Styela clava: one gene and its partner. Each later gene encodes a partner of the first gene's protein in a complex. Links are inferred from orthologs where the notes say so. Each region holds a gene or a part of one and is shown on either strand. Other genes may lie near its edges. The genes, in order: 26S proteasome complex subunit SEM1-like and integrator complex subunit 7-like.

Evidence for each region.
Region 2: the proteins of 26S proteasome complex subunit SEM1-like (region 1) and integrator complex subunit 7-like are in contact, whole or in part, in a cryo-EM structure (PDB 8YJB), measured with the Homo sapiens proteins. The link is inferred for Styela clava from reciprocal best matches to the Homo sapiens genes SEM1 and INTS7. Residues at the interface, in NP_006295.1 of Homo sapiens: Ala36, His37, Val38, Trp39, Glu40, Asp41, Asn42, Trp43, Asp44, Val48, Glu49, Asp50, Phe52, Ser53, Gln55, Leu56, Arg57, Glu59, Leu60, Glu61, His63, Gly64, Tyr65, Lys66, Met67; in NP_056249.1 of Homo sapiens: Lys410, Leu413, Asn414, Val417, Leu448, His451, Cys452, Ala454, Ala455, Met458, Glu488, Val491, Thr495, Leu517, Glu518, Ser521, Asn522, Gly523, Trp524, Val526, Tyr527, Arg528, Arg531, Gln532, Arg535, Ser548, Leu549, Thr551, Gln552, Val553.

Annotation. Positions count from the first base shown.
Region 1 is NC_135260.1:14,912,295-14,928,251, forward strand, and holds 26S proteasome complex subunit SEM1-like, read right to left. Parts: upstream 6,284-15,957; 5' UTR 6,160-6,283; coding exon 5,935-6,159; 3' UTR 5,034-5,934; downstream 1-5,033. Other genes in the region: thioredoxin-like protein 1, read right to left, coding at 1,720-1,749, 2,002-2,106, 2,469-2,547, 2,936-3,096, 3,613-3,738, 3,989-4,171, 4,556-4,652, 4,900-4,994; transmembrane protein 106B-like, read left to right, coding at 9,034-9,795. UniProt on the Homo sapiens protein: Component of the 26S proteasome, a multiprotein complex involved in the ATP-dependent degradation of ubiquitinated proteins.
Region 2 is NC_135253.1:7,952,487-7,969,509, forward strand, and holds the start of integrator complex subunit 7-like, read left to right. Parts: upstream 1-9,383; 5' UTR 9,384-9,529; coding exon 9,530-9,584; intron 9,585-10,718; coding exon 10,719-10,848; intron 10,849-11,367; coding exon 11,368-11,514; intron 11,515-12,235; coding exon 12,236-12,420; intron 12,421-12,813; coding exon 12,814-12,884; intron 12,885-13,042; coding exon 13,043-13,171; intron 13,172-13,437; coding exon 13,438-13,572; intron 13,573-13,935; coding exon 13,936-14,041; intron 14,042-14,476; coding exon 14,477-14,709; intron 14,710-15,322; coding exon 15,323-15,381; intron 15,382-15,955; coding exon 15,956-16,057; intron 16,058-16,481; coding exon 16,482-16,599; intron 16,600-16,906; coding exon 16,907-17,023. Other genes in the region: transcription termination factor 2-like, read right to left, coding at 28-191, 272-371, 512-674, 3,720-3,848, 3,994-4,032, 4,378-4,484, 4,655-4,742, 5,192-5,516 and 2 more; BLOC-1-related complex subunit 6-like, read right to left, coding at 8,395-8,742. UniProt on the Homo sapiens protein: Component of the integrator complex, a multiprotein complex that terminates RNA polymerase II (Pol II) transcription in the promoter-proximal region of genes.

The DNA of each region.
Region 1 (15,957 bases):
ACCGACCAATCGAAGATCGACCATGAAAACCGTTGTACATAAACCATTTTATTTTTTTCTTCGCATCGCACATATATTCCCATTATTAGCATTATCACTTTCATTGCATATGTAGCAATATCTTACTTCAAGAAGCACTTACTTTCTGGACTTGTTCTCTACCACAAATGAATATTTCTAACAACATAATTTATTTCATGGATTTACAAGTCTATGATTGTTAATTATACCCACTGTATCACTTTAGTGTCGAAACGCCTATAACTTTTGGCCGACAGGTGCAATAACTTCAATAGAAACATGTTTTTGTTATTCTTCTAGTTCACAATGCTCTATCGCTTTAATAAATCTTTCTGCATAAAGTTGTGTGAATATTTGATGGTTATGACAGGTGGTAAAGCATGATAATGCCGTTTCTCATGTAATATGTCAAAGACGCATTTGACATATTCTATTAGAGCTTGGAGTGGGATTAGCGTTCCTCCCATGAAACAAAAAACAGTGACGTCTACCTGAATGGACCTGATCTCGCACAGCTTTAAGAGAAGCTTCAGAACAATCACACCATTCAGTTTGTAATACAATTACAAGAAAATTGAATATTCGAGATCGAATCGCAAAGTATTCAATCGTTTTTAGGCTAATTTGCGAATCGCTGAGAGGAGGTGTCATGAAACTAGCTTCTATTTTGTGACCTCCATAAATGCAATTTTAAATTCCTTGGGCAACAGTTTTATTTATATTAATGGTTGTTTATCATTTTGCCAAAAATTACACGAAAAACCTTGCGAGTTAAGACTAATGATATCAGGGTTAAAATAGCACCTACAGGCTTTGCATGCCCTATTAAAACTTAATCCATCAGAATTGAGTAAATAAGGTATTGAGTGAGAATATGGGCAACTCGAACAGTTTTCGGAATGACTTGACGGTTATAAAAATTCTTTTAACCAGAAGCAATAATTGTGTGACAGTGGTAGTCATCCAAGTTGTAATCCTGTAGAAGCACTTGTGAAGGTAACCTATTCAACAATTAGGCTTTGACAAAAAAGAATTGCACAGAATGTATTTATATATTTTACATTTTATTAAATTAGGCTTGTGGTGTTCAAGAGACATAACTACATACAATTTTGCACAATTGATAATTTTCATCTTGGAAATATGATGAAAAACATGAAATAAGCAGCAATCTTGTTCCATCAGAGTCAGTTTAAGCAATATATATATATAAATCAGTTCCAATTAATCCACCAGTGCACCAACACAAACTTGGCAACTTGGTACATATAAATGGGCATCAGACCAAATGTAGGTTTTACTCCAATGAGAATACTATGAAATCAGACGCAACATTCCTGATATTTTGGAATTCACATTGTTTAACATGGAGATATAAGAATTTATCCTCCTCTACAAGGCTGAATTATGAATATTCAAAAACTTATATTTTCGTTGTAGTGAATGATTGAATTTTGGCTTCACTTCTCTGTCGAACACCATCATTTGATAAGTTGGCTTCAATGTCAGCAAACCCAGAAAATATGAATACGAGAAAAAAGTCATAAAATCCTAATGGAATGCAAACAAATTAATCATTTTAATCCTGAGTTGCCATCTCAATATTTGATTAAAGTGTTCCAACATCAAATAGTATTTTCTACAGTATAAATTCAGTATTACAAAAATTCTTCTTTTGAAACTTTCCAATGATGACAATCAATGAGATTCGCCCTCTTTTCCAGCAACCTTAAAGAGTACATTGATATAGCGGTCAGAAAACCACAATTAGGGTCTCCGAAAAAAAGGACCCAATGGCCCATAATCTGACATATATGATATTTGGGGTCACTCTTTACAATATGAAGTCGGATTTTATTATAATATCAATTTTTTTTAAATTTTCATAGATTATTCAATACCTAGTCCTATTTATCCTATCCTAAGTAAAAATCAATGAAATAAATTTTGATCAGATTTGATAAAGCAAAAAAAATTTACCCTCTTGAATTCAGACATATTTGTTGTTGCAACTGTTTTTCCTATCAAAGTGAGTTTCTCTATTTTAGTCGTTTCTTCATCTCCTTGATTATCGGGAATAAATATCTAAAAACAACTATTTTATAAGACAGAAGGCCTACCTAATTCATTACACTATGGGTGAGCTGGGGTGGGGCTTTAGACCCAAGATTTTTCACCTATAGAACCAGAATAGTTAGGATCAACATTACGACCACTGGGCTATCTATAGTTCAACCTAGTGCAGCCTCAATGCACAAAAATTCAGAACTCTTTTCGCCTTAACATAGGCTACCCAATTTTTGACTCTGCAAATATGGCCTTACATAAGTATTAATAAAAAGATCTCATTCGGAGATGCCACATAGGCCCAATAAATACATTAATCACCATTTCCCTCAAAAAAGTTCCCTCTGGAAAGCGAAAATACATAGAAAAAATGCACTTACTGTTAAATTGTGTACATTCTGAAACTTGACAAATCTGAGATTGATTAAACCATTCTCCGAAATGTCATCTTTTGTGAGACTGAAATATAGTTTAAAATAGAAGTTAGATTTACATATTAATTTCTTGCAGGCCTCAGCAAATCTTTCATGGAAGAAGTCCAAATTGAGGTCAAGATTTATACATTTTCTATGCTTGGCAAATAGAGCATTACCTCACAGAGAAGCATAATTTGGATTTTCAGATCGAGAAGAATAAAGCATAATATGATTTCAAATTTATATTGAAAGTTTTTGAAAAATGTCAAGTTTTTTTGTGTAAATCCACATAACATGTCTATTGGAAATGCTTCACCAGCAGAGATGCTAATGTATGCAACAAAAACAAAACATGAGACTTGGAAAAATTTTACTTCAAATTAGTCAAAAACTCATTGATAAAGTTTACTATACTCATACTTTGAACTAACCTAAATTCCTGGATAGGTTTTCCATCTCGCGCAGAATCAAAATCCATATTATGAGGTTGATTTATGAATAACCTCAATGTTTTCGGACCAAAATCATGTGGAGCCACCAGTTTTAACGAGTGCAGTTTGATATTCTGATTAAATTCGACTGATATAAGAAGCTGAAATAGAATGACAGTTGAAAAATAACAGGTTGTGTTTAAAAAATTTAAACCAAACAAATAAAGTGCATTGAATATTGGATTCAAACTTAATTATATAAAACTTTAATACAGGAGGGCCAGATACAACTAACTGGGTGGAACCGCGGCCCGCATCTTTATTCAAAATAGGCTTTCTGGTAGTTGCAGCCTGCAGGCACAAAAACTTTTGTCATTGATCTTATAAAATGTGATGTTTGCTTCACACAAGCTCAGATATAGGCTTTGCAACACAAAGAAATTGGAAATGCTCACACATACCAGATTGAATTAAATTAAAACTTGTTTCACGGGCCGCACATCATTCAAAATTGGCACTCTTTTTTCCTTGAGGGCTGCATTTGGCCCGCGGGTCGCAGATTGTACACACATGCATTAAATTCATGAGTTCAGGCATAATTAAGAACAGCCTCATTTAAAAATTCCTCATTTTTTGAGTAATTGGAGTCTCACAGTATGAACAAGAGCATTTGATACCTCCGGATCACAGTCTGATTCCAAATACAAATCTGAGTTTTCTTCGAAGATATACTTGACAGTATGGTCATCACTTTCATTGAGACAAGTTAGTTGAGATATATTAACTTGTGATAACAAATCAACCTGAAATAAAGAGATTAATTTGCAAATAACTATATTTGATATTAATTGGTGTTGTCACAGTATTTAAACAAATTTGAATTTGTTATTAGTATTATTATTTAAGTCGATGAGCTGACAGAACCACAGCCTCCCCCATCCTGTTATCAGTCCAAGTCAGATATATAATTATTTTTTTTTAATTTTGCCTACAACATAAGTTTTTTAGGCTTTGGTTCAAATTAAAAACAAAGCAACAGATAGTGCTTCTTACCATGCCAGGAATCCCAACACTTGATTCTGAACTTGATCCATTTGCTGAAGAATCGAGTGATAATTCATGAACCTTGTTTCGCAATTCCTCAGCCTTAGCTCCTTGTATTTTATGAAGTGTTGTTTCGTTACGAATGAATAGAAATGTTGGCATAGCTCTAACACCATAGATTGTTTTGGTTTCCTGCAAAAAAAAACATTTTATACAATCATTAATCTATACATGATAAAAATATTCATAGCTAGTAATTAACTGGATGGTAAATTGTTACATCCAAAAATGGCTAAGTAATAAATAAAAGACTAATGACAATAACTATCCATTTAAAATGACTTTTTGCTCATAAAAACATAATATTAGAAATAATACAGACAAATTGAATAGTCGTTTGACTTATACCAGTGTTTGACTGGTTTATTAAATAAACGTATTCATCAATCAGCCTATTCATCTACCCACTCTTATTATACATCATTAAACACAATTTTGAACAAACTTACTATCATAATATCATGCCCAATGTTAAATGAATCAGAAAATAATAAATACAGTAAACAAAAATATTACAAAACATTTGTCAACATCAACTTTAAGAAATACAACTCCTTCATATTGATTTGATAATTCTTCAAATACTGGAGCAATAGCGTGACAGGGTCCACACCTTTAAAAATAAAAAAGATTATAATCGTTCTACAACATAACACTGCACACAACACTAATGAGGTTCTTATCACTTTATCTGTATGCCACTCGGAAAATATATTACATACATAAATGTTCTAACAACTAAATTTTATCAATTTGATAATATACCAGTAACTCAGACTTCAGAGACAAATTCGATAATTCAAAAATAAACGATTACATATTCAAATGTAATATCTACTATCTATATCTGAAAGACTTACCATGTAGCAAAAAAATCTATGACAACGAGGGATGAACCAGCATCGTTAAAACTGAGTTGAAATGCTGCGTCGTTATCTATATGTTGTACAGGCATTTTCTATCAATTTAGGTATTTGATTATTAAACAATTCGACTGGGAAAAACAAACAACGATTAGCTTTCACACATTTCTCAAAGGGTCAACATTTTATAACAAAACAGAGGACACTCTTTTTTATTAAACATAAATTAACCAACCAGAACATCTGCAGAATTTCATAGCTGATTATATCCAACAATTATTCTGGCAATGAGAATATTTTAGATCAATCTGATATCAAACAAAACCATGAAATGCAATATTTCATATGACGAAAATTGACTAAATAATAGTTACTTGTTCATTGAACATTGAGACAATCTACATTGAATCGAATGTTAACAGCATTCATCACACATTACTAGTGGAAAAAAGTAACATTATGAAGAGCATCTACGTCCAATTTGTAAATAAATGTCAGTCATCATTCAGAGTTACAATTCCCACCAGAATAACTCAAATTTCATATTATACAATGTGTAAATTGCAAGCCAAATGAAAGTCTAGATATAAAAATTGGTGATGTAGGTAGATTTACCTTTCAAATGTTATAGCATATCATATTTACTTTTCAGGCATGGTTTCAGTGCAGGGTACCACAAATAACTCATGATGAAAATAAAATTCAGACACAACTTCATTATAACAAACTTATCCACTGCAAAAAATCTTGTGGTGTACCTATAAATATTTATAGACAAAACACTCCTAACACTCGATTACGCCTAACTTAAATAAAAATTGAAAACAGAAGTTAATCCTTAAATTCAACAAAAAATATACACATGTGGACTTTGTATTGCATGTGTAAGTTCAGAAGGTGGTTTAATTACTGAATTATAAAACGAACAAATTGTCCAAATCAATACCAATAAAGAAAATTCCATTTCATCATCAAGTACCAATGTTAAGCAATATACATTGTATTGTTCAATATTTGCCGTTGATGATAAAATTATGACTTGACTTTCTGGCCGGATTTTTCTAAAATAGCTTTTAATTGTGATGAAAAGTCATCTTCTATATTATCATCATCCCAGTTTTCATCCCAAAATACTTTTGGTTCTTTGTCTTTCCCGGTCCATTCTTCCGCAGGAAATTCTTCAAATTCGTCATCATCTTCTAATGATCCTAGTTCAGTGACTGGCTTTTGTTCATCTTTCTTGTCTTTGTCAGCCATTTATCTCGAAGAATTGAATACTTTTTAAAGAATAAGTTTTATTACTATAATAGGATTTGATAAATCGATAGTAAAGGTTAGGTAAAAAGATGAAAAAGGGGCACACTACTGCACTAAGCATAGGTTTATACTAATATATATTCCTGTAAAACCTTTCATCTCATACGGTATTCAGTATATTTTGAACGATACTTACAGACTTAAGGTTTGTTTACCGGTACTCACCTGATTCTAATACTAATTAAAGAGTGGAAATAATTTTATACTTATACTACACTTATTATCCAATCCATTATCCAGTTTGTTACCGGTATGCAGGTATGATTATAAGATTTTTGAGTTGTTATTACAGTATTAAAATCACAAATTTACAAAAGTTACACAAGAAAAAAATAACAAAAAAATGAATATCGGTATTTCTCACTATTATTATTAAATTACGAGGCATTATAGGTAATCTTATCTTACAATATTCTTACAGTTTTCACGCGCCGTGCGGCTTTTATTTTTCATTTATTTTTTTTAATGAAAAATAACAAATAAAATAATATCAAAAAGAATTACCAACAGTATATTATTAATATGTTATACATGTTATTCAAATCTCCATTCTGCCTTATGATTTTCGAGCAACTTTCATCCCGGACATTCGCACATACATTGTGAACATGACATAGCATGAGTAAGCATAATAATACACGACACTCACTGAACTCTGCTGCCATATAGCGAATGTATAAAATATCGTAAATATTTCTTTATTTATTTATCAACAGAAACAAAAGAAAATCAGGTGATTGATATTTCGCCAACCCTTCTGCATTGCGTGCGTACCGTGTCCGTATCCCTTTCTTCATCTCCGAGTTCAGGCGTAGTATTGGTACAGGTATGGGTACCGTTCTTCTGTACTGGGAGGTTGCACGGCTTAATCTTCAGATTTTTTTTTTTCTATCATAAAGTTTAAAAGTGTACAATCTTCAGACTCATGAGTAATACTAATAGAGTGTCTGAGCAATTAGCGACATGTGTCATTGCGAGCAGCCAGGCATGTCATTACTAAGTTAGCCCTTTTTAATATTTGAACTCTAATGCATTTGTGCTTTGCTTTTGTTTGTTGGCATCTATTATTAAATTTGGCATATAAAATAACTGGTTGAAATTGAAGTAAGGTCTATAAAACAGCTTAATCTTGTTTTGAACTGTCGCCTCGTCTCACAGCCTCGTCAGAAATGAAAAAATTTACTATAACAAATACCGTAGATCAGCGGTTCCCAAACTATGGACCCACTGGTGGGTCGCAAGAAAAATCTCAGTGGGTAGTGAAAAGATGTAGAAAGCTTTGATTAATCATACTGGTTGGTTATTAGCAGTGTTCCCTCTAAGGTGTGCGCGTGCACACAGGACAGCTTTCAGAGGCTGCGCACACGCATAGATTTACTGCACACAGACGTATTTCGATGTAATGTAACAATGTTCTCGATTGGCAGGTTGAGAAAGTTTGTTGTTGGCCCACTTATTACCCGGTTAGAACACCAAAATTTCTTCATTGGTTTTTGCACAAATATTATTCATTTCCAAAAAAGTGCGCACACACCAAAATTTCTGCGCACACATACTACAAAAAATTAGAGGGAACATTGGTTATTAGGATCGGTGACAAAGCAAATTTTGGAATAAACTGCAACTTTTTAATTTTCACGTCTAAAACTATCTGAAATCGAAATAAATATCAAGTCTATTATGGAAAATAGCAAAAAACAAGCTCATCTTTCTCACTAGCTTCACTGAAAATTCAATTTGAGAAAATAAATTTGTTTACTCCATCAATGTTTTATTAATTTATTAAAGTTAAATGGGTCGCCATAAGCTGTGGTAAAAAATAGTGGGTCCCAACTCTAAAAAGTTTTGGAACCACTGCCGTAGATAGCTTATTTTGAAAACTCCATAATACACCTACCGTAAATAAAAAATAAAGAATTCTGGAGAGGGAGCAAAACCTTTAAAAAAGTTTAAAACATGAGAAATATCATGTGCCAGCCCACGGCACACACAAAAAAATTACAAAAAACACAAACCTGGTTAAACGAGGCTTGGGACAGAAATAAACAAACAAAAGATACACGAATGTTTGAACTTTCGGACTGTTATACTTTTAAAACCCTCAGTAATGATGACTTTGTTTAGTGCCTTAATTTAAATGTCTTGGAAGAATGGAAATGTATATTCAATTTATAATCTTCTTGAAACTTACAATGTTCACTTATACAGCAATATACAGATATATGTTGTAAATAAAAGTTATATTTATTTTGCCCCATCCCTCAGTGATATTGCGATAAACCGAAGATCTTCGGGATCAAATGTAAATCTTGACAACTATTAACATTTTTCCAATTCCTCGAAATAATTTTACAATATGATCTGTTGATCATTACAAAATAAAACCCTCAACACCAGATTACTCTACAGCCTACATTTCTAATTTCAGCATCTCTGTGTATTAAGACTAAAGAAAAAAATAAACAAAAGGATGCATATCTTTAAAAAATGAATTGTGTGTGAGTATGCAGACATGTCTCCCTTTAATGAATGTTTGTATGTTGATCCTTTCAATAAACCATTATCTGCAATACTTTTTTTCGTTAATTTTTTTTTGTCTTTACATCTTGTGAATGTTCTGTTTCGTACTGCAGTCGGACTGCTGTCAGTCTGTCAATGTAGCATGCAAGACGGACCAGCTTTTATAATTGAAGTATTGTTTAATAATTTTTTAAGCCTTCAATCCAAATCCATTCTATACTTCTTTTCAAAGATTGATGTTGTAATAGCCGAATAAATTGGTCTCTAACTCTAATGGGATGAAATAAAGTGAATATGGGTAGCATCATCAGCTCAAACACTAAAAATAATAGTGAATATACTACAGATGGAAATGTAAATGCTACACCTGGCGAAAGAGATTTTGGATATATAGAGTTCGATGGAAGTGATGGCAAAACTTGCCCCACTTGTCAAGGCACGGGGCGAATTTCTAGACGTCAAGAAGATGAACTTGTGGCCCTAATTCCATATCATGACAAAAGACTAAAACCTCGCAGAACAACAATGTATGTTATGTTGGCCATCATTGTGTGCTTGATAATATGTGGACTTATACTGTTCTTCATTCTACCAAGATCTGTCAAAATAACAGAAGGAAAAATTGCGAACTACTCGGTGAATATAAACACCAATTTGTCATCCACGGTTATTATAGCTACCAACCAGTATAACATTACAAACACCAACTATTTTCACGTACAAATTACAAAAATTTCAGTTGAAGCATTTTTTGATCAAGTGCAAGTTGGCACTGGGAAGTTGAAGCACGGCCCTGTGGTTGTACCCCCATTAACAAACAACTTTCCTGTCAATATAACTGTTCAAATGACATTTGATAAAACTAATCAGTTAGACTTTATGAGTAGTTTGTGTACTAATGATAAGCGACGAGTGCATGATATTGTGATTAAATTTCAAGCAACACAAACGTCAAAGTATCTTTCCCATACTGAACAGGATACAATATCCTCATATAAGTACATAGATTGCAGTCCTACTCCCCCACCTCCTAAAGCTAAGAATAAGAAACCTTAATTGTCCAATTCATAATAATATTGGTACATCATTATTTTCCCATGAATTTCACTTTTCATTGTAACTCGTCTTGATATATGTATTCTGATGTCTCGCATTGATGTCATTCTTCTTATATTATTTTTTTTATCAATTTTGTGATAGGAAGTTAGTAAAATGATATACTTTGTATGCTTCAAACATTTACACCTACATTAGATTATTAGGATTTATTAACGGTGTAATAGGATTCTGAATATCTGACAAGACTGGTGCAATAATATATTTGTAGGCATGGTGGTTAAGTATTTCATATTATTGATCATTTTCAAGATTCAAACCATTTCAACTTAATTTCACCAAATAGCTCAAAACCACTTCTGATAGTGTAACTTTAATAGATATTTAAGTAGCCATTTATTTGATAAACCTTGGCCCTGTATTTTCTATTACAAGAGTAAAAAATAAAACATTAGTATGAATAGTTAATGTAATATTAATTTTGAAGCAATGTTCAATATGGCGGCAAACAAAAGCAGGAAGTTATCTGCATTACTTCATGGAGCCTTTATATTGATCAAGTGTTTGGATCTCTATTCTGATATCATGAACAATATGTTACACATGTATTGAATATCATGTAGAAATCTGCATGCAATGGTTAATTCTGTATTCACAGGTGTATCGATCTCTCTTTTTTTTTCCTCAAAAAGTTACCAGATATGCCTAATATTTTTTCATTTTGTTTTCATTAGCGTGTAATTTATGTCTCATTCTTACTGCCAAGGCGTTAGGGATCACTGCTTTGCTTGGAAGCATAATTTTGTGTAGTCAAATCAAATTGTCAGTAGTAAAACATTAGACATATTATATACTACATTTAGCTGCCTCATCAATGCATCGCTGCTGGGTATGTGGTATCATAACACTGCAGTAAAATATATCAAATTCAAATATCCAAGTCAAAAAAATTATGCAGTATTCGGCCTATGGTTCAAATTTTATATATTAATAACAGGAAATAATTTATTTAGAATGTGTCTTTATAAATTGTAATTCATGGAACATCGGTCTTATAGGTCTATTTAATCTATTTTTATAGTCATTTTTGGGATGTGTCAAATAATTCACCCAATAGTACTTTACAGACTATTCCAATTTAATAAATGACTGTAGTTTGAATGCCATTTTGCTGTAGCGAATTTTAATATCTTCTGATAGTCATTGTAAAAGCATTTTTATTCTGATAGTCATTGTAAAAGCATTTTTATTGTATTTATTATTCTCGATTGGCCCATATCTTTGTTACAGCAATCAGTACTTATTACTTAATATTAGTACATTAATTGCGATTACCTGGTATTTTCCAAGATCAATTTGTACTCAAATATCTTGATTGGTAAATACTACTAATTGGCATTTCTGCATAATCGGTGCTGTGATATTTGATCATAAGTAACATTCTGATGTACCATCTCATTATCTTTTTTTTTGTATTTTTGCTTGATAAGATGTGCATTTTTTGGACGTGAAGGACAGATAATCAGTTAACACTGTGATATAAGTAATGATACACTATGTTGGGGGAAGTCGATTTGTAAATAAGTTGTCCAGCTATTCATTGTCCAGAGAGAGGTATATACTACTTCAGCTTATCTCCAGAAAAAGATTTATGCACATTGTCATTACATTTACGTCAACTTGATTATTGTTAGTTCTAAATTTGTCAAACATTCGTGTGGATATTTTTATTAGCTTGCCTTGAACGTACATGAGAGAGTTTATTTATTTTTTATGTTACGGAAATGTCATTGTTGAATAACAACCATACTTTGAAAAATATCAGATGCTTGAATGTATGTTATCAACCTCACCGTATAAAATCATCAAACGAGACTGGCATCTTTAGTTTTAGGACCAGAATGGTGCTTGGGTTGTCACGTAAGCAATTCGCTATATGGCCACACTACCATATTATCTAGTGGCCGTTTCTTGTCATTCATGGGATGGAATGCATTCGTCTGACGCTAACGAAGTATAAACGCAATAATGCGCTTATTCTATTGAGTCACATTCGATATCAGACATCTCCAAGTGTCTTTCAATTGCAGTCAAAAATTGCGTCCAGTACGTTAATTTTCCTCACTTCTTGGTAGTTTCTTGGATGGAGAGAGTTCACACGCTCGTCAAACCAGAAAACAATGCGAATATGTATCAATAAAATTTAACAATAGGACCTTAAGATCTTCAGAGTCTGTTATCACCAAAACACGAGTACAAAAATAGTTGAACAGGTTCAAAAATCTAATATATATCATGAACGTATCAAAACTGCGAAAGACTAAGAAGTGCATTGGACGATTATAGTTGGGCCGTTTCCGTCATCTTTTTCAATAACTATTTTGGAATCTCCCTAATCTGAGATGCGACTTCATATTTGAGGTTACGAATCTTCTCACTATGAAAGTGTTTTGAAATATCTAGAACATAGGTTTTCAAAGTGCTCCGTACGGAGCCCCAGGGCTCCGCGAGAGTAACCCAGGGGCTCCGCGAGCTATTCGATTACTTTTCAAAATACTGACTTGGCTAATTTAAAACTGTTCCTAGAAGCAATACTAGCTTTGATGAAATTTGACAAATATGGCCTCGAAATATGGCAAAGGGGCGGAATTAAAAAATGACATTATTTATAAGCAGGAGTGCAGCCAGGATTCTTAAGAGGGAGGAGGTTCAAAATTGAAATCGGAAATTTACGCGCAACATTCTTGACGATTCAAAAAAAACGGATAACGAGATCTCTGTTGCGTAAAATATTCAATTCATGACCGATGCGAGCATCTAAAGGGTCTTGTAATGATTTAATTGTGCTCATCGTTACTCACATTCGATTCGAAATTACTATTAGGATTACTAAAATGATAAAATACTAGTCTAAAATAACATAAACTGCGTGATAAACTGCTAACTATAAATAAAATGGAGTCGTATTTTTGCGATCTTGGGATTTGTTAAACTTTATTTGTTCTTTCGCACTCGAGATTATTTTTAAGCAAGATGTCGCCGTTTGAAAAATCACAAGGTCTTGGCAAAATACGAACGATAGAAATTTATTTTAGTGCATGCGGCTCTGTCGGTAGTTTCAGAAAGGAAAAATGGTACATCGCACGCATAATTAAATGACTGTGTTTCAATTTCGCAGTTACTACGATGAATAACCGAAAACCTAACATAACACCAAATTTTATGATTTTCGATGTCTGTAACAGCGTTTTTATTCTGACGTGAGTCTGCTGAAACAAAACTTATAGTGTTATCTTCCATTTTAAGTTTTAGTTCTAATATTTTAGAAGGCCGCTTTTTAATCAAGAAATTTGAATTGCAGATTTACCTCTTTATTAACTATTATTTATAGCATTTCGTCGCCGATGATTATAATATGGTAACATGTTTTTCACATTGAACTCATAATTCCCCACGAGAAAGAAAAAGCAATTATCGTCGTCATTGTGGAACAAACATGCATATGCCGAAGGAAATTTTTTATTTAGGGAGAATAAACACCGGCGTAAAGATGTTTGAGGTTCAAAAACACGCCATGCTGACGAAAACAATCGGCGATTGTAACAAAATGCAATCGCGCACGTTATTAGCAGCCTTTTAAGTCTTCCAAAAATGTCAAGAGGGGAAAAGATTCGACCCCTAATTTATTAATATGTTTGTCATGTGTCAAATTTATAGCTTTAGTATATTATACAATTTATCTTTGAAATTTAGATTTATTTATGACTTGTATTAACCCTATTAAAAGTGTTTAGTATTTAAATTGGGTAAAGTACGTTTAACTTACTCAGGAATATTAATCAGAAAGTAACAATTTTAACATTTATTTTGGGGCTCCGTGAATAATAGTCAACCTTTTCAAGGGCTCCGCAACGCCAAAAGTTTGAGAACCCCTGATTCTAGAATATTATAATATAATGTAACAAAATTGAGGTACATATTACCCAATACTCGTATGGTATGCACAAAAATTTGATCAGTGTAAAGAACATTGAGATAATATTAAAGAATCTAGTGGAAAGAGATCAATCAGATTCGCATAGTCACAAAAATCAAGTGCGGATATGCTAGCACGTGAATATTGTTTGCTTAGCCATGTTAACAAAATATCTGTTGTTGAAATAAGAGCGTTGGTGACCCGAACACATTCTTCGTATACAACATGTTCGTAGGAATAATGCGTCATCCCGTGCTTGTTTTCGCGTGACCAAGTGACAATCACGAGACCTGTAACATTTGTAATAGCGGTAAATCATTTACAAAATCGCCAGCAATGGCTCGCCGTTTCGAACATTTTTCATCTTTTGGGTACCTTCATTGTTGTTATCCCCCAGACGGCCATTTACACATAAATTCGATTGCACTAATTTTCAAACGAAATACCAAAGGTTTGAGTGAAGGTCAATCGAGCGCGTGTGGAATGCTGACATTTCAATGGTTTACGTTTCTAACACTCTTCTATCGTTGTTGAATTTAGCTAGCGCTTCTGGCGCAACCTTTCTCCCATTTCCCGCTCATCCGGCAATCTCGAACTCCTCGCCATCCGACGATCAATGGCTTTCATTTGGATTTCTCCCCCTCACGCAATCATATTTTTTTACTAAGCCCCTACTAATCCGTTCGAATGTCGGAAGGAGAAAGTTAACCCCAGCTGGCCGTAAGTCATTATTTTAGGGCTTTTTATTAACAATAATTAAAAATTAGGTTTTATTTATTGCGTTCAGCCTCTATATATTCTGAAAATTAAGTTATTCAAGTCAGAACCCACACGCATGAACATTTCTAAACAGTCGATGAACATAGGCCGTGTTTCCTTGTTTCACTTGTTCTTTATCATTTACTGGACTTCACATTGACTTGTAACCTAAACAGAAAACAATCATAATTTTCTTTGTGAGCAGTCCGGCCTTGCAGTCTCGTCCGCACCTTCCGATTATATTTTTGTTTTATGATCATTATTTCTGTACTACAATTTAACGGTATTCAGAAATAAATTCCTGTATTTTCTATGTTAGAACTATATGTATTGAATGTGCCACGATGAGAATCATGCGTTGTTCACGTTCTTGACTTTGCAACCCCGTCCACATTCCTCGTTACGATAGCTCAGTTGTGTGGGCGGTTTGCGTCACAGATTTTTAATCACGATTGTTGTGATGAGCTGATAAATATTCAACCCAACAGTTGTCAAGTTTATGAATATGAGAGATACGGTCAACCCTAGACGTGTTCAATTGCACGCTTTTACATGAGATGCAAATGTGAAACATAACGTATTTTTCTTCAATTTTGTATTCGATAGAGGAACTCTCATTTCAAATGTCAAGACTTTAGAAATAAATAGGGTTACCATATTTTTTTGACTTCAAAGCGGGACGCCTCCAATAACACGAGCCCTTAGCTGTGATTCTGAAACTTTACAGTTTCCGATTTTACAACATAGGCCTACATTTAAAGCCATCCCGGCTGTCTTCATTGATCATATTGTCATCGACATTTAATGCGCATATTATATTCTCTGTCTAAATATCGAGTTGGGTTCAGTTCGAAAAATAGAAAGGAATAGACGCTAACGATACAAATGATCCGAATTTACATTTTTTATGTACAGCAAAAGGAATAAAGAATAATGAAATAGTCTGCCGTTTTCAAGCATTGAGATTTGCTTATTGCTCAAGCATGCTTTTCTGTAGATAACGCCTTCAAAAAGAACGTGAACGTCCGAACGGAACCAATTAGAATTGATTTTACATGTGATACGTTCGCTAACACTGTTAGTGGGAAACAACGAAACAAACAAAATAACGCATTCACAGTCAGTAAGTAAGCTAGCGTTGCGCTACACAGCAAAAACAATAACGAGAATAATATGTCCGTTTATTATGCTGGATGGCTGAACGCCAAAGCGGGACTTTTGGCTGACTTATCGGGACGGCGGGACAAGACGCTAAAAATCGGGACTGTCCCGCCTATAGCGGGACGTATGGAAAGCCTAGAAATGAATAAAAGTAATAGTCTTCAATTTCAAAGCAATTTATCCAATAACCGTCGTTGCAATAACTGAACAGAAAGGCGATGTTTTCATAACAACGAGAAGAAGCGAACAACAACATAATAACAAAG
Region 2 (17,023 bases), on another chromosome or scaffold:
AAATGGGTAAGTTATAGTTTTGTCTACCTCAACAACATAACTAACAAAGTAGTTGCAGTCATTTTGTTCTCATTATTTCCTCCCTCAGATGAACTACCAAGATGACCAGATGCACTACTTTTAGGATGTTTCTTGTTATCTTGAAATTTTCTGAATGCAGCTTGAGAGTCTGATTGCAATTTTTGATATACCTAGATTAAAAAAAATTGTGTTAACATTGTGTTAATGGAAATGGAATTTTGCATGCATTCGCCCATCTATACAATGTTACCTCTCTTTCCACGTCATTCAGTTTCAACTTGTGAGTAACAAATGTCCGCTTCGGCAAATTGACTAGTGGTTTTCCAAATGTATCGCTTTGTGATTTCTCTCTAAATCCATTATAAAAAAGTTTAAAGAAAAGTTATTAGAAAGAATTGATTAGTGCAATGTTGGTAAATAAATACAATGTTTCAAACCTAAACTATACCCAATCCTAAAATCATAAAGGCACTCGGCCAATAAAAAATACCTTCTCAAAACGATGCATGAAACCAATGTCTTCAATCTCTCTTTTCCATTGGTTGTTTTATTATCTACTTGATGTTTCCAAACCTTATATTCATCGAATGGTCGACAGTGTAAAAATTTTAACATTGCATACATGTCTGTAAGATTATTTTGTACTGGAGTACCTAAATGGAATGATATACATTTTAATTTCCTGTACAACTAAATTCGACATTCCCATCTTTGATATTGGTAAGTTTAATAAATCATGTCGGTGATGGCCAGATAGTTTACACTACGAGCAGGGGCGGACACCCGGGGGGCGAGGGGGGGCGGTCGCCCCCCCAATAATTTCGTAAAAAAATTTAATACATGTTGTTTCCGCCCTACAAAATTATCATTTCCGAAAAGTGCGAGAGTCAAGCGCAATTAAACGGTTGATAGTTACCGATATTATAACTGTTTTCTTACAATAATGTGGACCAGAGCGCCTTGGAGCACCTCACATTTTCGTAAAACATGCGCGCCCACACGGGTAATACTCCGTCTTCAAACGCACCGCCGATCACGCGCCACGGTTTTGCACAACTAATTCATTTTTGTACAATTTAATATGATTTTCTCATTGTCAAAATCTTTCAATAGTGTTATTGTTGGCACTTGCGAGAGAAGTGAAAGAGGCAAACTGTGTTTCATTACAACAATTAATTATTATCGCTAAAATATTAACTAGATCTAAAGTTGTTAAGTACAATTTTCACCGCTGGACGTATCTTTTCACGTTCTGGATTTCGTGCAAGGCCCAACATAATTTGCGGGCAAAGATCAAAGCATTTACTATGTCGAAAAGTTAAGAAGCGGCAATATAAAATACTAAAATTAAAACTGTAAACAATCAACAAAGTTTTGTTGAGGCCCGCGACAGTCTAAAAACGCTTTTCTAGGCATCAAAAATCGCAAAATTTCGTGTGCCTACGGCACAAATTATGTTTGCTTGACTTTTAAAAACATTTCGTCACTAAAATCGAAACACGGTCAATTGTGAGCGGGATTTGCCTTTTTACCCATTACTTTTAAATTGACGTCGAAAATTTTCGTGTTAACAAACAAAGCTGGGAACGCGACTTTTCCCCGGTTTGTGATGATATATAAGATAATTAAAGTATAATCGATCACTTTTTGTATTTATTTTATGTATTTTTATTGTACTGAAATAACTTCTACTACGTGAGAATTGACAGAAAATTTAGGGATTTTTCGAAGAGTTTTATCTTTAAAAATAATCGGAGTGACAACATTGCGATTGAGTGGAGCCAGTGTGACAAGTACATCTCAAATTTATCGAATTCGCAAAATAGCAAAAATACGGATCAAAACAATATACAAACGGGCAGTTTACCACACATTTTTATGTCCGCGGATTGCCGTTGTGTTTTAGAGTGGCTCTTGTTTTGTCGACTCAGCCGCAGTTTAAATTGAAGACAATTAAATTAATAAATCAAGACATTTTGAATTTGCCCGTATCGGTCTTTGATTGATTACTTTGCACAAGGGAAAAATCATTTTTCGTTGATAAAGTCGGCTCTTTTAACAAGTGGCGTAATCGCGGCGACTGTTCCGCGTGGATTTCGAGGCGGTGAATTTGTATTTTTGATTTACTAGTATACTTTATAATTATTTTCATTGTATTAATTAAAATGGTACTATATGGGATTTTATATCAGATATCGATATTTTTGTAACGGCGATAACGAGTTCGGAAGATTGCAAAAATAGGTATAAAAATTAAATACATCAGGCAGCTTATCTCATATTTTTATGTCCACATATCGCCGTAGTACTTTAGTTAATTTTTATATTTTTTTGACGTAAGAAGTCGCAACCGCGAGTTACGTTGCACACTATTAAATTAATATATAAGAACATTTTAGAATCTCGTGGCTGTCATGGATCAAAAGAAAAATCATTATACTCTTAAATAGGCGGCTCTTTTAACGAGCGCGTAATCGCGGTGCTTGTTGCAGACGGCAATGGGAAGTTCCGACTTTTACCCCCCCCCCGCCTTTTTTTTAAATCCTGGCTGCGCGCCTGAACTTGTGCCTGTTTATTTTCGTATTAAATTATAAATAAAAACCCTACAAAGTCATTGCGTGAATACTGAATGGTATTTCGAGTTTAAATGATGATTTAATAAATCGGCAATAATGGCAATTCTACTACTCAAATGATAATTCCTTGGTAAAATTTAGGAAAAAAATTCGCACAATAGCTTGTTACCTTGTTTTGCATTTCTAATTTTACGAAACGGCGTTAGTGCGCTTTATGCAGAACTAGGAATTGAAACAATAACCTAATACGACTCCTCAAATTTGGTATTTTCTGTTTGTTAGCAAGAGCAGTGGGCTAATTCTCGCGGAATTCAAGAAATTGGTTCAGTAACGCGCAAGTTCCGTGTCCGAGCAAAGCAGCCTAGGTACTCGATATATGAGTAGCGAAATGGCATGCTAGTACTTAGAGAATGACATCGACAGGTTATTGTGACGTGACGATACACGGCGCGGTGTTTTTCCGGTAGGCGATCCAAGTTCGCCCCCCCAAAATTATGGAAAGTGTCCGCCCCTGACTACGAGTACTTGTATGTTAAAAATCTTGAGTACAGGCACACCACATACACATTGAGAGTGAAATAAATTGGCTATGGTTAGGAAAACTACATATTCCTATCCTCCAAAGTCTTACACTAAAGCCATACAGTGAAACAAGAGAAGATTCTTATAAATAAGCCTTTTTCCCACTAGGCTGGAAAGCTGAAGCTCGCTCTAAGAGGTGAAGCTAGAGCCGGGGCTACCAGAAATGTCAGTGGCATCACCTCCTAACCATCTATTCAGTTTATTGTGAAATATTTTTTTCAATATATATATATATTATTCTCTAATATTTAGGTAAAAGGTTTATAGTTTTGACTAATACTGCTGCGAAACTGGTGGCAAAGAATAGTTTGAATCTAGAACAGAAATTCTGATTTCTAACCACCGCCCAAGTTATGCATTTAACAATACATTCCCAATTAAATTTAATATACCATTATATAAAATTATAAATCTTGATACCAGTGCTATTACAACCATATCAGTGAACATCAAGAGTACCCGAACTCTTCAAATGAGACATTTCCAAATATAAGCAAACTTTAATCCAAACTTTATCATTATAAAATAAGTAAATATTACCAGACATTGCCCATCTTGACTTTGCTTCCAATTTACATGCAGCTTCAGATGATTGGCTTTTAAAATTTTTAATCTGATGTGCTTCGTCAAGTATTATACGATTCCATTTGATTTGCATGAGTGTATTTTCTGTCAATATAAATAGTTGGGAAAGTTTATCAATAATCTTATATTCAGTGTTCAACCGCTAAAGCACGACATTAGGCCTAATGAAGAATTTAATCTTGTAAGTTATATGGAAAATTTTTAAGTTTAGAGTATATAAGTTTCTAACCTTTCTTTTCTTCAGCTTTTGCTGATAAACATCGTCGCACTGTAACAGAAGAAGTATTGACTTTAGTTCAAAATTAGAAAAATACATACCGAGCGGTATATATTATGAAAATATATAAAAAATATTAACTTGGCAAATATATCGCCAATAATCTTATCCACTGATTATATTTGCTTGCAAATTTGCTCCAGTGGCAATACGTTTTTAAGGCAATACGTGGTGAATTACTACAGATCAAACCAATGTTAATAAGGGCCGTGCTTTTAAATAATTTTCTAGTTGTAATTCAATGACAGCTGTTAGCATGAGGCATTTTTGGACAATTGTAATTACATTTCCCTACCAGTATATCCTCAAGTAGAAATTACATAGACATCTTCCTACCTATATCATAAGTTGTAATAATTACATCAAATTCAGCAAGTCTTGAAGGTTCTTTCTCCCTGGAACTTCCATGAAATAGATGAATACTGAGAAGACCTTTATCACACCTACATGATACAAATACTAGTTACTGTATATAGAGTAATTGAAATAATTTCCAATAATATTCTAATCGATACTTCCTATCATACCATTCGGATAATATTAAAAAAATATAATAAGCAATGAAAGATTTATCATTCATACACCAAATGCCGGTACTTGAAAGTTACAAGACCTGTTACGAATTTCTTTTTCCCAATGAAAGAGTAGAGATGCTGGAGCTATAATTAAAGTTGAATCACTCTCAATCAATGGAGTTTTTTCTGAAAAAGAAACAACCGAGATGAACAGCAAAAGGACAAAAAAGAAGAGTTATGATTCACACAGTTCAATTATGAGTTTCAGAATAAATTTTCTAAAAATTTCATTCCAGTATTAGCAAAATTATGTTAGGAATTTCAACGCAGATACGCAATATGAGTATATTTTTATGAGAAGTACTGCTACTGTAGAACAGTCCTTTAGAAGTTTTATTAGAGACATAGAATGATTTCATAAATAATTTTTTGTTACTATCACTGTACAGCAGATAGATGTTAATTATACCGAATGAGTTTGAAACTAAATAACTTATTTGCGGTATATCTATATTATTTCAGAGCTTCAAATAAAAAAGTTATCCTGGGTGTGTGCTCTTTTTTTTAAAATGTGGAATGTATACTAAAGCTTACAATTGTAAATCAACCATGCTTCAAAAAACAAATCCAATTACCTGTTTCACCAATGTCACTTTCTTCTTTACTGCCACCTTTAACTTCCCGTTTGATTTTTGATTCAGTTTTCTCATTTTCAATTAAAATAACAGAATCGTCTGATTCACTTGAGCTATTAAAGTCTTTGATGTCATCCTCTTCTTTAATCTGGATTTTAGTGTCTTTGTTTTCATCAGACAATTCTCTTTGTTTCAATATAAGACAGATCATCGTAAGAGTTTTGCCAAGACCCATATCATCAGCCAGAATTCCACCAGACATAGATTGTTGTTCTCTCCACACTAACCAAGCAAGTGCTTGTCGTTGATGGGTCATTAATGTTACCTGTAGAGAAACAGGGTTTATTTCAGTATATGTGCAATATACGTTTTGGTTCACCGTTCATGGTTATAATTTATGGTACTCCTGAAGTATGCGCACCAAGATGTCGCACAACCTGAACCCTAACCTGGTACACAACCTGAGTTCAGGTTGTGGGCCATCTTGGTGCGTATACTTCAGGAGGTCCTGATTTATTTTAACCGTTGACTGACATCTTGGGTACAAATCCTCTTTATAATGTACTATTTTTTAAAAATGATTACGTCATCGCAAATTTATCTTCTGCGGCATTTTAATTCAAAAAAATATTGCTGATTATGAAAATTTGACAATGATAAATTCAGAATCAGTTTTCGGTCGAAGTAGCCTATATTATAGTTCACAATTTTATTGCAAAATCATATAGGCCTACTTAATGTCATCCAACAAGTGTGCAGGTAATGCTGTTTTTCTTATGGTATCTCAAAATAGAATTTGCACATCAAACACTGAAAATTTGTCACATAAATAACATTTAATAATGGAATCGGGTTTTACTAAAATACTTCCATATGTGCAAAGCATGCTGCATATCATTTTGCAGAAGAGCAATCATGAAACTATCTCGCTTCATGAATAATTTTGATTGATACTGGGATAAGACCACCTGAAATTACTTTGCAGCCATTGTGACGTAACAAGTTAATATTATAAATTATTATGTCAAACGTCATGCTGAGGTGTTTCCCTGAAATTCCCAGCCCTAGCGTTTACACAAAACTGCATTTTCTTACTCAATCTTAGAAGATGACCAAGTATCAAGAAATGTTTTTATATGGACCACACTTGCATACATCTTTTGATGGAATTCATTTATCTAACCTTCAGGCCTTCAGGATCATCCAGTTCTCCTGTGGGTTCAGGTCTCGTTTCCAGAGACTTGTGAAGGTCCTCAATTGCAGCCTTTGTTATCTGGGAATAATAATAATAATCATGAAACTCATTTCAATATTTGGTTATATCTCGGATACTAAATAGTAAATACTACCCAAAATTAGGGTATGAATAATTTTAAACATTTAGGCAATAAAAATGCTGACCAGCTGACTGAATGAAAAACGATAATAAAAAGCTAAGCTTTTAAATTTTAGATTACAATATGAAATATTCTCAAGAAGATTAGAAGTACAACTATGGTATAATATATTACCTGACGGACTTCAGTCAGACGAGCACTTGTCATTCTTCCTCCATATAACGGACCATCGTTAAATTGCATTGGACCCATATCATATGCACTAAGATCTAATTTTCCTGTTCTCGCCCCAAATGGTTCCGCTTTTGGGAACGTAAGTTTTGTTTGAGTAAGTTTCCTATCAGGAGCAGAGTTAAAAGCCATAGGAGGTGCTATCATTACAGCACCTTGAGCATCAGGCTTTCTTGAATATGACTCTAACCATGGTCGTGTATGCTTAGGCATTGCATCAGCGTTTGAAAGAGGTAGTTGATTCTCTTTGTCAATGAGTTTTGAAGGAGTTGAATCATGACTTTTATCTTTATTTTTGCTTTTCATGGATAATTTTTGCAGTTCAAGTTCCAAATTGTTTATTTCATCTTTCAGTCTTCTACCACCATCTGGAAGTTTATCTAGTTTTAAACTGCGAAAAAGTGTTTTTTTCTTACCAATGTTCTCTTTCAGTCTCACAACTTCAGGATCCTCTAGTCTTGGGGCCATTCCAGCAGAATTAGGCCCAGTGGCAGAGACTACAATTGGCCCTTTCCTCATTGCAGGAACAACGCATGGGGGACCAACACGAATTTTTCCTGAGCTTAAATCTATAGGCTTCGGTTTTGGTCTCCGTTCGTGCTTTTCTCTGTACAAATTTTTTTCAACTATTTCACCATGTTTCGAAGAAACCTCTTTTTTACCGTGAACTTTGACATCATGAGGATGTGGGATCGAAACGAATGCTCCGGAGTTACCATTACTATACGTGCCATGTTGGTGTTTATCATGCTTGTGAGGTTGTTTCCTGCTATCCTGGTTCTGCATTTGATGATTTCGTTCAAGTCTTGTAACTGCTTCTGCTCTAAAATCCAGTTTACTATCACGACCAATGTGTTCTTTAACATCGAAGCAAAATTTATCACCCCTCGATATTCCTGATGTAATACCACAATTTCGCATTGTCGTCATATGAAAAAATACATTATCGTGATTAGGGACCGAAAAAAATCCATATCCTTTATCTTCTTTATAAACTGTGACAGTTCCACAATATCTTGTTCCTACAGTCAAAGCCTTACGATTGTGGGAATGATCGTTTGAATTACTGGAACTTACCTCGGCCATTAGGAATATAATACAATACTGAAACTGAGATCAAAGCATTGTCAGATGTAAAACCAAATTAATATTTTTAATATTATTCGAAGTTAAATAAATAGATTAATAATCAGGCTCAACCCTAAATAATCAAACAAAGCAAAAACAAATTCAAACCATCGAAAATAAATAATAAAACTTAGGTAAAACAATAAAATGCATAATTCTGTCCTAACACTTGCATAGAAATTACAAATTAGTTAATATTACTTGTTGAAATCTGCAAATAGAAATGCCTATTAAAAATGGCTTTGATGTAATATAACACTTGAATAGACATGTTTCATTTGATTAAATATATAAGCAGTATATCAGTACAGCAGTATATTATTGTATTTCACAATTCATAACAATAATGTAAAATTTGGAATTTTTTGAAATAAAAAAAAAATTTGAATGTCAAAACAAAATGATTCTATATTTATTATTTTATATTAAGAATTAGTTATTATTACTTTATCGAAGACTCATAAACTAATACATAAGATTCCTAGTCTGAATAAAAAAAAACTGTAATCATGGTATTTGAGCAACTTGAGCTTCTAGCATCAGCAGAGAATTTTGAATTTTTTTGATGCTTTGACCAACTTTATACACAGGAACCATTGCTTTATCAAGTTCCTCACAATGAGCAATCAGCATGTACATCGATTTCATTGAGTCATCAATCTCAACTCCCATAGCTTCAATTGCACTGCTATATGTTTGTGAATTAGCCACAGTAATTGCTGATGTCTCGTGTAGTTTATTAGTCAGTTTCTTAACTATATTGCCAAGGCTGTTAGAGAGTTTTTCTGTTTGCCGTTCAAGATCATCCAGTACAGTGCTATCAATCGCAGGAAAGTCATCATTCAAACCAGACATATTGCAACATTGGTTTGTTACAGTAGCCTACTGAAGTACCAAACAAATATGTATATACTGAAATAATCTGCAACTATTGAACAGACACAGCTGGCATTACTCTATTACAGTTTTACATCACATATTCAGATATTATTGTGAACTGGAACAGATATGAATTATTCATTGCACAAAAGTTTGTTCTAAGACTTTTCAATTTCTTACAATATTTTTACATCACCAATCATAGGCAGAGAGCTGCCCTGTACAATGTGCTTCAGTGACAAATTTATGCATTGCAGCAAACTATGCAATCATACTTTTGCTATCCATATTCAAATACAGAAATAGGCTATATCCTCGTGATAATTTTAACTTAGCACATATCCCAGTATCCTGATATCGCGTTTCAAATGCAGAGAGTGTACCAAAAAAATCCGGAAGTTTATGGACGACGATGTCACAGAATAATAATAATATGTCGACGATAATGAACCCCAAATCACTGAATTATGCTCAACATAACCATGCCAAGGATTCCTCCCCAAGTGTATTACGGTACGTATTACAGTATTATGGAATACGCAAACCGAATTCCCCCGCGAAGAGAACGATCACCCTTTTTTTCTCTTTCAATTATAACACGTGATTTCACGATACCTGCACGCATGACTTCACTCAAGACGATTGCTCGTGGCGAGAGGATCTACTTAGCACATCGCATTTCGCTAGCCATTCTGTAAACAGGCTTCCTCTTTTCCTTTGAATATTTTGGCGTCTGCCTATCATTACAAATCATAAGTCAATCATGATGGACGAACAAAATCAAGATGCCAACTCGGCGCTCATGGAACTTGATAAAGGTAAGCCTGCTTGTAATAATCTACTCTTAGGTCAGTAGTACAATGAATACAACATATGAACAAATAAATAACATAAAATAATTTATTTGAACTCGCCATCGTACAAAAAATGGCATAATAAGGTTTTAACATGGCATAAAAGTAAAATTCTATTGTTAATATATTTGCCTACTGTTTGTATGCTTACGTTTTGGATTGTTTTGATTTATGTTTATGTAACAAAATAGAATAATGGATACATAACATGGGCAATCTCACTTGTGACTGTATGACCATTTACACAATATTGAAAATAGTATATATATCAGTATATCAGTACCGGGTATATCAGTATATGGAGTTATTTTACTTGTTTCTGTGCAAAAATAGTCTGTTCCTACTGTCCTATATTAGCAATTCACTGGCAGACTGGTAAGTGTAAAGAGTTAGATATAGGATAGGATTTACTTATTTATCCTGGGGGAGAGCAAAGTCAATAAAACGGCTTAATCCATTGATGAACCACAGCCTCCCGTTCGGTTACCAGTCCATGTCGAATATGGGATTAGTCAGTCAGGTATTCGTTTTTCGATGCATGAACTTGATGGTGGAGGAAGCTGTACCGACCACCATTCCATCCCCCGCAAGATTCGAACCTGAGAATCCACGCAGAGCAATCAGAGCATATCAGTAATGCTTAGCACGAAGCGCCACACCGCCGAGCCATGAATTTTTGCTATCTTTTAATTTATGTAACATAACATATGGTGTGGCAAGTAATTTTTATTTATTTATTTTTTATTAACTACCAGTATGTAATTTTTCATGTTCCCTTTACTTAATAACTTCTATATGGTTGTGTGTGTGGGTGCGTGTGAGCGTGTGTGAAATATTTCAATTATTTTAGGTGAGTGAACACGTACCACATCTTCTTGGCAAAACCTTCCATCTTATATACATTCTGTACGTTTTAAACCTTATCTAAGGTTTTGTTCGCTCTCCTGATTTCATAATCAGTTTTTATTTATTTATTTTTAGCATTCATTTTATTGTTTTGCTGATTATGGAGTCGAAATAAACTTATACTTATACTTATATAACAGTACCACAGTATCCTGATATTCAAATATTATTTTATTCAATATTCTTTCAAAGGTCTTCGTGCTCAAAAAGTTGGCCAGCAATGTGAAGCAATTGTTCGATTTCCTGGATTATTTGAGAGATTTCCATTCCCAATTCTTATCAACTCTGCATTCTTGAAGCTGGCAGATGTGTTTCGTGTTGGGTAAACATCAGATTCCTTATCAGAAATGAATATTTCTTAAAAATAAATTTGGTTAAGGCTATAGACTAATTGTGTTAGTAAAAACGGTAGCGTAAAGCAGCCTTTTTTATTAATGATGATCAAGCATTTGAAGTAATGAAAATAGGTATGCACTGATACAGTCATGAAGAATTATGAAATGTGTAGCAATTTTATTTGACATGTGTAAATCAACATATGTATTTATATATATAGGCCTACTATAACTGAATCTCTTCATATATTTCCCTCAAGCATCGTATTTTGATACTTGATGTTAGATGAAGCGCAGTCAATCTATTGTCGTATTCAGGTTTTCAGTTTGAATCTTGATTAATAAAACATTAGGGTTTTTATCATTTCTCTAAAAGCATATTTGTCACGAAGTAGGTACAGTTTTTGTTAGTTCGAACAAATCGCAGCGATCATTTTTATGTATATACTTATGGATAGAAATTCTCGGTTTTTAAACATCGACAAACTGACAAATTATTTTTTCAGGAATAATTTTCTTCGTCTTTGTATACTTCGAGTGTCTCAGCAAAGCAATAAACATCTTGATAAAATTCTCAACATAACAGAATTTAGAAGAAGAATTTCTGTAGTTATTCATAGCAATGATCCATATGCAAGAGCAATAACTTTAAGGTTGGTTTTCTAAAAATGAGTTCCTCAACCTTGTTCTACCAGACCGACTATCGCATACAATCTCAATATTTTTTTTTTGTTCATTTTTGTTGCAATTAGGATCTTAATCTATTCATTGTGAACCATTAGTAGGCCTATTTCGAAAGCTGGATCAATACAATTATATTCCTTACCAAATGTATTTCATCATGCTAACTACTTATATTTCACTACTCATTTTTTATTTTATTTAATATGATGCTCACACACTTTGTTCGCTCTTAGCAAGGCTCTTTACGAGCTGCCACTGATCTCTAACAATATTTGGGAGGACCGGGATCTTTCTGACTTGTAATTGCCTGATCAATTACCAGTGGCGTAGCCAGAGGGGTGGTTTTGCGGGTCGAAACCCCCCTTTTGAAATGTAAAAAAAATAAAATCTTTTTTCTGTATCATAGATAGCAATTTTTCGTAGCTTTAAATGCTTTTTAGACCCTCAAGACTAATAAAAACACGCGTATTCTAGAGTCGATTAGTCCCGCTAGCTGTTTCGATCTAACTTGCCAAATAAAAATTTCAGAACCCCCCCCATGAAAATTTCTGGCTACACCCCTGTTAATCACCCTGGTGGACCCCTGTCAATCACCCTGGTGTAGATGTGTGTGTGCGTGGGGGGTGAGATGAGATTTGAATTAGCCAATTTCAATTACCGGTAGCTGTTAATGACTTGGTAATTTTTCAGGATGCTGGGCAGTATTGCTTGTATAATAAGTGATGAAAAAAGTGTTCACCACAGTATAAGACAAGGTTTGGATTCGCATGATCGTGTTGAGCAGGAAGCTGCAATATATGCAACTATTCAATTTGCTTCACATTCGGGGGAATTTGCTACAAGTATTTGCAATAAGATTGCAACAATGTTACAGGGTATGTGCTGTCAACTATCATACATGGATATCTATATAGTGTTTAGAACATTCCAAATTGATGTATTTTTTATCCATCAGTTTTATGACTCAAACTAAATATTCCTATTAAAAAATGGATGTTCATTTTATCATTGTTTCTGTATTTAAAGTTTAGATTTTCTAAGTTCAGCATTGATTATCTGATTTCCACATCAGGAAAGATGCTGGGTATGAGATCACATTATCTAATAAAAGATTGCTTGTGAACAGCCTTGTATGGAGTGAAGGCATGAAACAGTTCATGTTAAAGTCGACCAATCAAATCTCTCATATTATATTGTAGCTAATTATTTAGCCCCTATGTATTACCATGTTTGGTTTTGAAACTCCTTAAAAATTTACTACTTCACAGGGCTGTCAACACCGCTTGAAATTAAACTGAAGTTAATTCCGGTTCTTCAGCATATGCATTATGATGTCCAGGTATATTTCTCATAAATATTTTCAATAATACACAGTTCATGCTGGAAAGTGGCCGAAATGTAACAGGTGTTATAATCACCACAATCAAAGACAATTTTTTCCTAATATTTAGTTTTGTGTAATGTTGTATTACCTTTGTTTAATGTTATTCTCGTAAGGTTTCATCAAAATCAAGAGCTGTCTTGAAAGATTTGTTGCCTGCCTATCCTGCACAAGATTTTGTTGTGACAACTTTAAACACATTGACAAGCTTATCAATGCATTCTTTAGTTGATGTTCCATCACAGGTAAGAATACCAAGTAAGCAACTTCTGGTTGTATACCTGACTAGCTTGCTTTTTTAAATTGATATCTAGATAGACTGTCTGGAAGACTAGTGTTTTAGATCAATTGGAATTATTTGCATGATTAGATGATTCGAAACTTTTTTCTTTGGTTGACTAGTGACCAGCGGCTACACGAAGAAGCTAGTATAGACTACACCAACTAACTAACAATTTTTATTGCTGTCAAATTAAATTCATATAATTTATGCATTGATATATATTTTCAGGTTTCCCTTCTTCTGCAATATTTGAGATGTGATCCAAGAGAAGCAGTTAAAACTGTCACTCTACAAAATTTGAATATGCTTGCTAAGTCTGGCCCACATCTTTGGTCAATAGAAGACACTAATGAACTTTGCAAGGTAGCTTTCGTTCTCAGAGACACACATACTTGCTTAGATGTAGAGAAGACTTATCTCTAAGTAAAGTGAATGGTGAACACTGGAATTCCAAGAAAATACTGAAACTGTATAGAATTATGGTGATGCATAACATGCCAATAAATGCTGTTTAGCGCTTGAAGCAGTTTCATTATTAAAATTATTCTATCTTGTCATGATTCTTAGTGCTCATTTATTATTGTTTTAATTTAACTTTGTAGATAATGTTTTTGATATAGATATTCAAATAATATTTATGCGCATTTAGCACAGAATAGACATTTTTATACAATTCCATTGATGCTTTTATTGTGTGGGTATAAGCATTTTGATTTCTTTTTTCAGGCTTATTCATTGTCAGCAATGCAATCGTCATTAAAAGGAGCTATACTTCAAGTACTTTGTACATTGGCTAGTGGCAATACAGTGTTACACTTGAATCTTAGCGATGGTAAATATTGTTTTATATATCCTGTTGATAATGATATCTGAAGTGCCCTCTAACTAATTGATTTTATTGTCATCATTAGAATTATTCAACTAAAGTTGAATTCAAAATTTACAAATAATTATTTAATTTACTTGGTCTTTGGCGTAAGCAAGTCTCTATGTAAGCAACCACTCACTAAACTACTAGGTTTAGGGCAAACATTACAAGACTATAATAAATCTGTTTGAGTGACTAATTGGGCATGTCGTTTTAGGCACAGCTATTATGGCAAAGGCCTTTTTGGCGGTAAATAATTATCTTGTCGAAAATTTGTGTTTTCATTTTTATGTGCCTGTTTTTGTTTTTCAATAAAAGTTTTAAAATTTGAAAACCCTATGCTAGGGATGGATCATTATAGTCCTAATGTTTTAGTTTTTAACATCTTTTTTTAAACAGGTAGCGATCTTATCAATCTATGTAGAAAATGTTGTTACGACAGAGATGTACGACAAGCAGCATTAGCAAGTAGATTACTAGCTATGCTTGCAACTCATGCTACACAATCTGACCAAGGATCAACTGCTTTACAAAGTGAATTATTACAAGAGTCAGCTGATGCTGTAGAATCATTGTTGTTCATTCTTGCTCCATCTAGTGATTATTCTTCTAAAGATAAATCAACATTAGAAGTAAGGCTTTCAAATGAGTTCGTTTGAATGGAATTTAGAATCCAAAATGGGTTACTGAAATTTTTAATGTACTTATTTCCAAGGGAAGATAATATATAGTTAATAATAATAATAAGAGTTATCCTTTTGACCTGGGTTATTGAAATTCACTGCCTGAATATGATTTTGACTTAATCACGTTCACACACCTGAAACATATAGCTGGTTAATTAATCCCACACCTAACATGGTCTGGTAATCGGACGAGAGGCTGTGGTTTGCCATACAATTAAGCTATCTTAACGGATAAATATGAAAATTCTAACTCATACTACTCTCCAAGGGTAAACTTTTCTAATATAAATTATTGGATTCAATCATTTCGAATACCAGTTTCATGAAGATAGTTGGAATTTGGTACAAAGTAAGTTTCATGCATATAAAAATGTGGATTCATTTTGACTACAGTTTGAAAGGAGTGATTGGGTGTTTTTTAGTAAGTTGAATCAATTGTTGGAATTTTATCTCTCAATACAACATGTTTGGCATTTTAAATGGTCTTTTACTTTGTTCCTGTTGTCATTTCAATAATATTGACTTTGGCCATTTATTCTGATGTTCTTGTTTATTTTAGATAGTTCTTCCAGCAATTAGTGAACTTTGTCAAGTTTGTGATGCTGAAGTTGTTATAAGGTGATATATATTATTATTTTTTGTTTTCTTTTATTTTCATTAAAAATCAGCAGTTGGTACATCATGTTAAGTGTTAGAAATACACTTGCCATCGCACCTCTGCTCGGGTTTGCAGGTTCGAATCATCGTAGCGTGTATAGGAAGTATAAAATGATTGGAAACGCATAGGAAAATAAAAGGATTGACAATAACTACATAATTTGGGGACTGGGAGTCATGTATCAGATGGTCGGTTACAGCTTCCTCCACCATCAAGTTCATGCATCTGAAAACTAATAACTGGCCAACGATTCCCATAACCGAATGGAGTGATATGATGAAGTCGACCTATCGGCTTGTCTCTTCTCTAGTTTAAATATGAGAATCCTACTCTAAAATATTACAAAACATATTAATTATTCAACGGATCCAATTTGAACTATAATGAGTGTTTTTATATTTGAATCATTTTTATTTCAAACAAAGCTGTTATATAGAAATATATTAACAAGATCATGGGAATTCATGTTCACTTGAGAAAGAATTTGTGATTGGGGGTTTTTCCAAAATATATCTTTTGCCAATTTATTTCCAGGTTGATAGAAGTTGTTGTGAGCTTACTAACATTGGATTGCCAACCTGATGGAGATGTTGCTTCAATGTTATGTGAAATACTGGCTTCAATTGCTTCTAAGAGGTATGAAAACGCGAATAAAAATAAGTGATAGAAAATAGCTGTTTTGCGTTGTCAATTGTGCAGTACAGATGAATCATTCCATTTCGAAAGTCGCAACAATGCAGAATACCATGATCAGTAGATAAGTTTTTTCTTCTTTGGAGCTAAGCTGGCCAAACTGATGTTTTACTATTTAAAGGGTGTCTGATATATATTTATGTGTAATATATTGCATCCAAAATACTGTTTCTACATGAACCTAGTTTGGAATATTGAAACATCTCATAAAAAGGATTGGTACATGACCTGTGGCGTGCATCCCGTTATTGTTAATTTTAGTTTAGTCATCTTTGATGTTGGGATTTTCAATCATTTGTTCAGTAAATTCCATTGTATGTCCATAATCTTTTGATTATTGAAATCGATACTATATATTTTTCTTCAGCAAAAAGCCAGATCTTTTGAAGAAATTTTCATCAAATCTGATAGAACTTTTGTCAAATGTTGTTGAAACTGTGGATGATAGTTCAGAACGAAGTTCTTCTAACTTACAGAAAGTTATTGTAAGATTCCTATTTTTTATGTTTGCCATTTTTAAAATATTCACACTTAGGCATAGAAATGTTCATCATAGATCATAGATGTTTATCATAGATTTTTGTCAGATCGAGTATGACAGCATTTCTGTGACCTCGGGTTGGGAAACACTTCACTAGTGGTTTTGTGTGCGTAGGAAGGATGCTATACCAAGAATAAAGATTAGTAGCCTATTCTGCCTGTCCAATCTGAGTCAGGCAACACCGCCACCAAATGTATTTGCGAGGTTTGACAATATATTTTTAGTTTTTATGTTAATTCATGTCTTTTTAGACTCACATATGTACATTGTTGTTTCTATCAAATCAATCGTTCAACGAAGCTGACCTTGGTGAAAGAATTCTTGACATTATAACTGATACTGAGTCTGCAGCAAATAAATGGACTTGG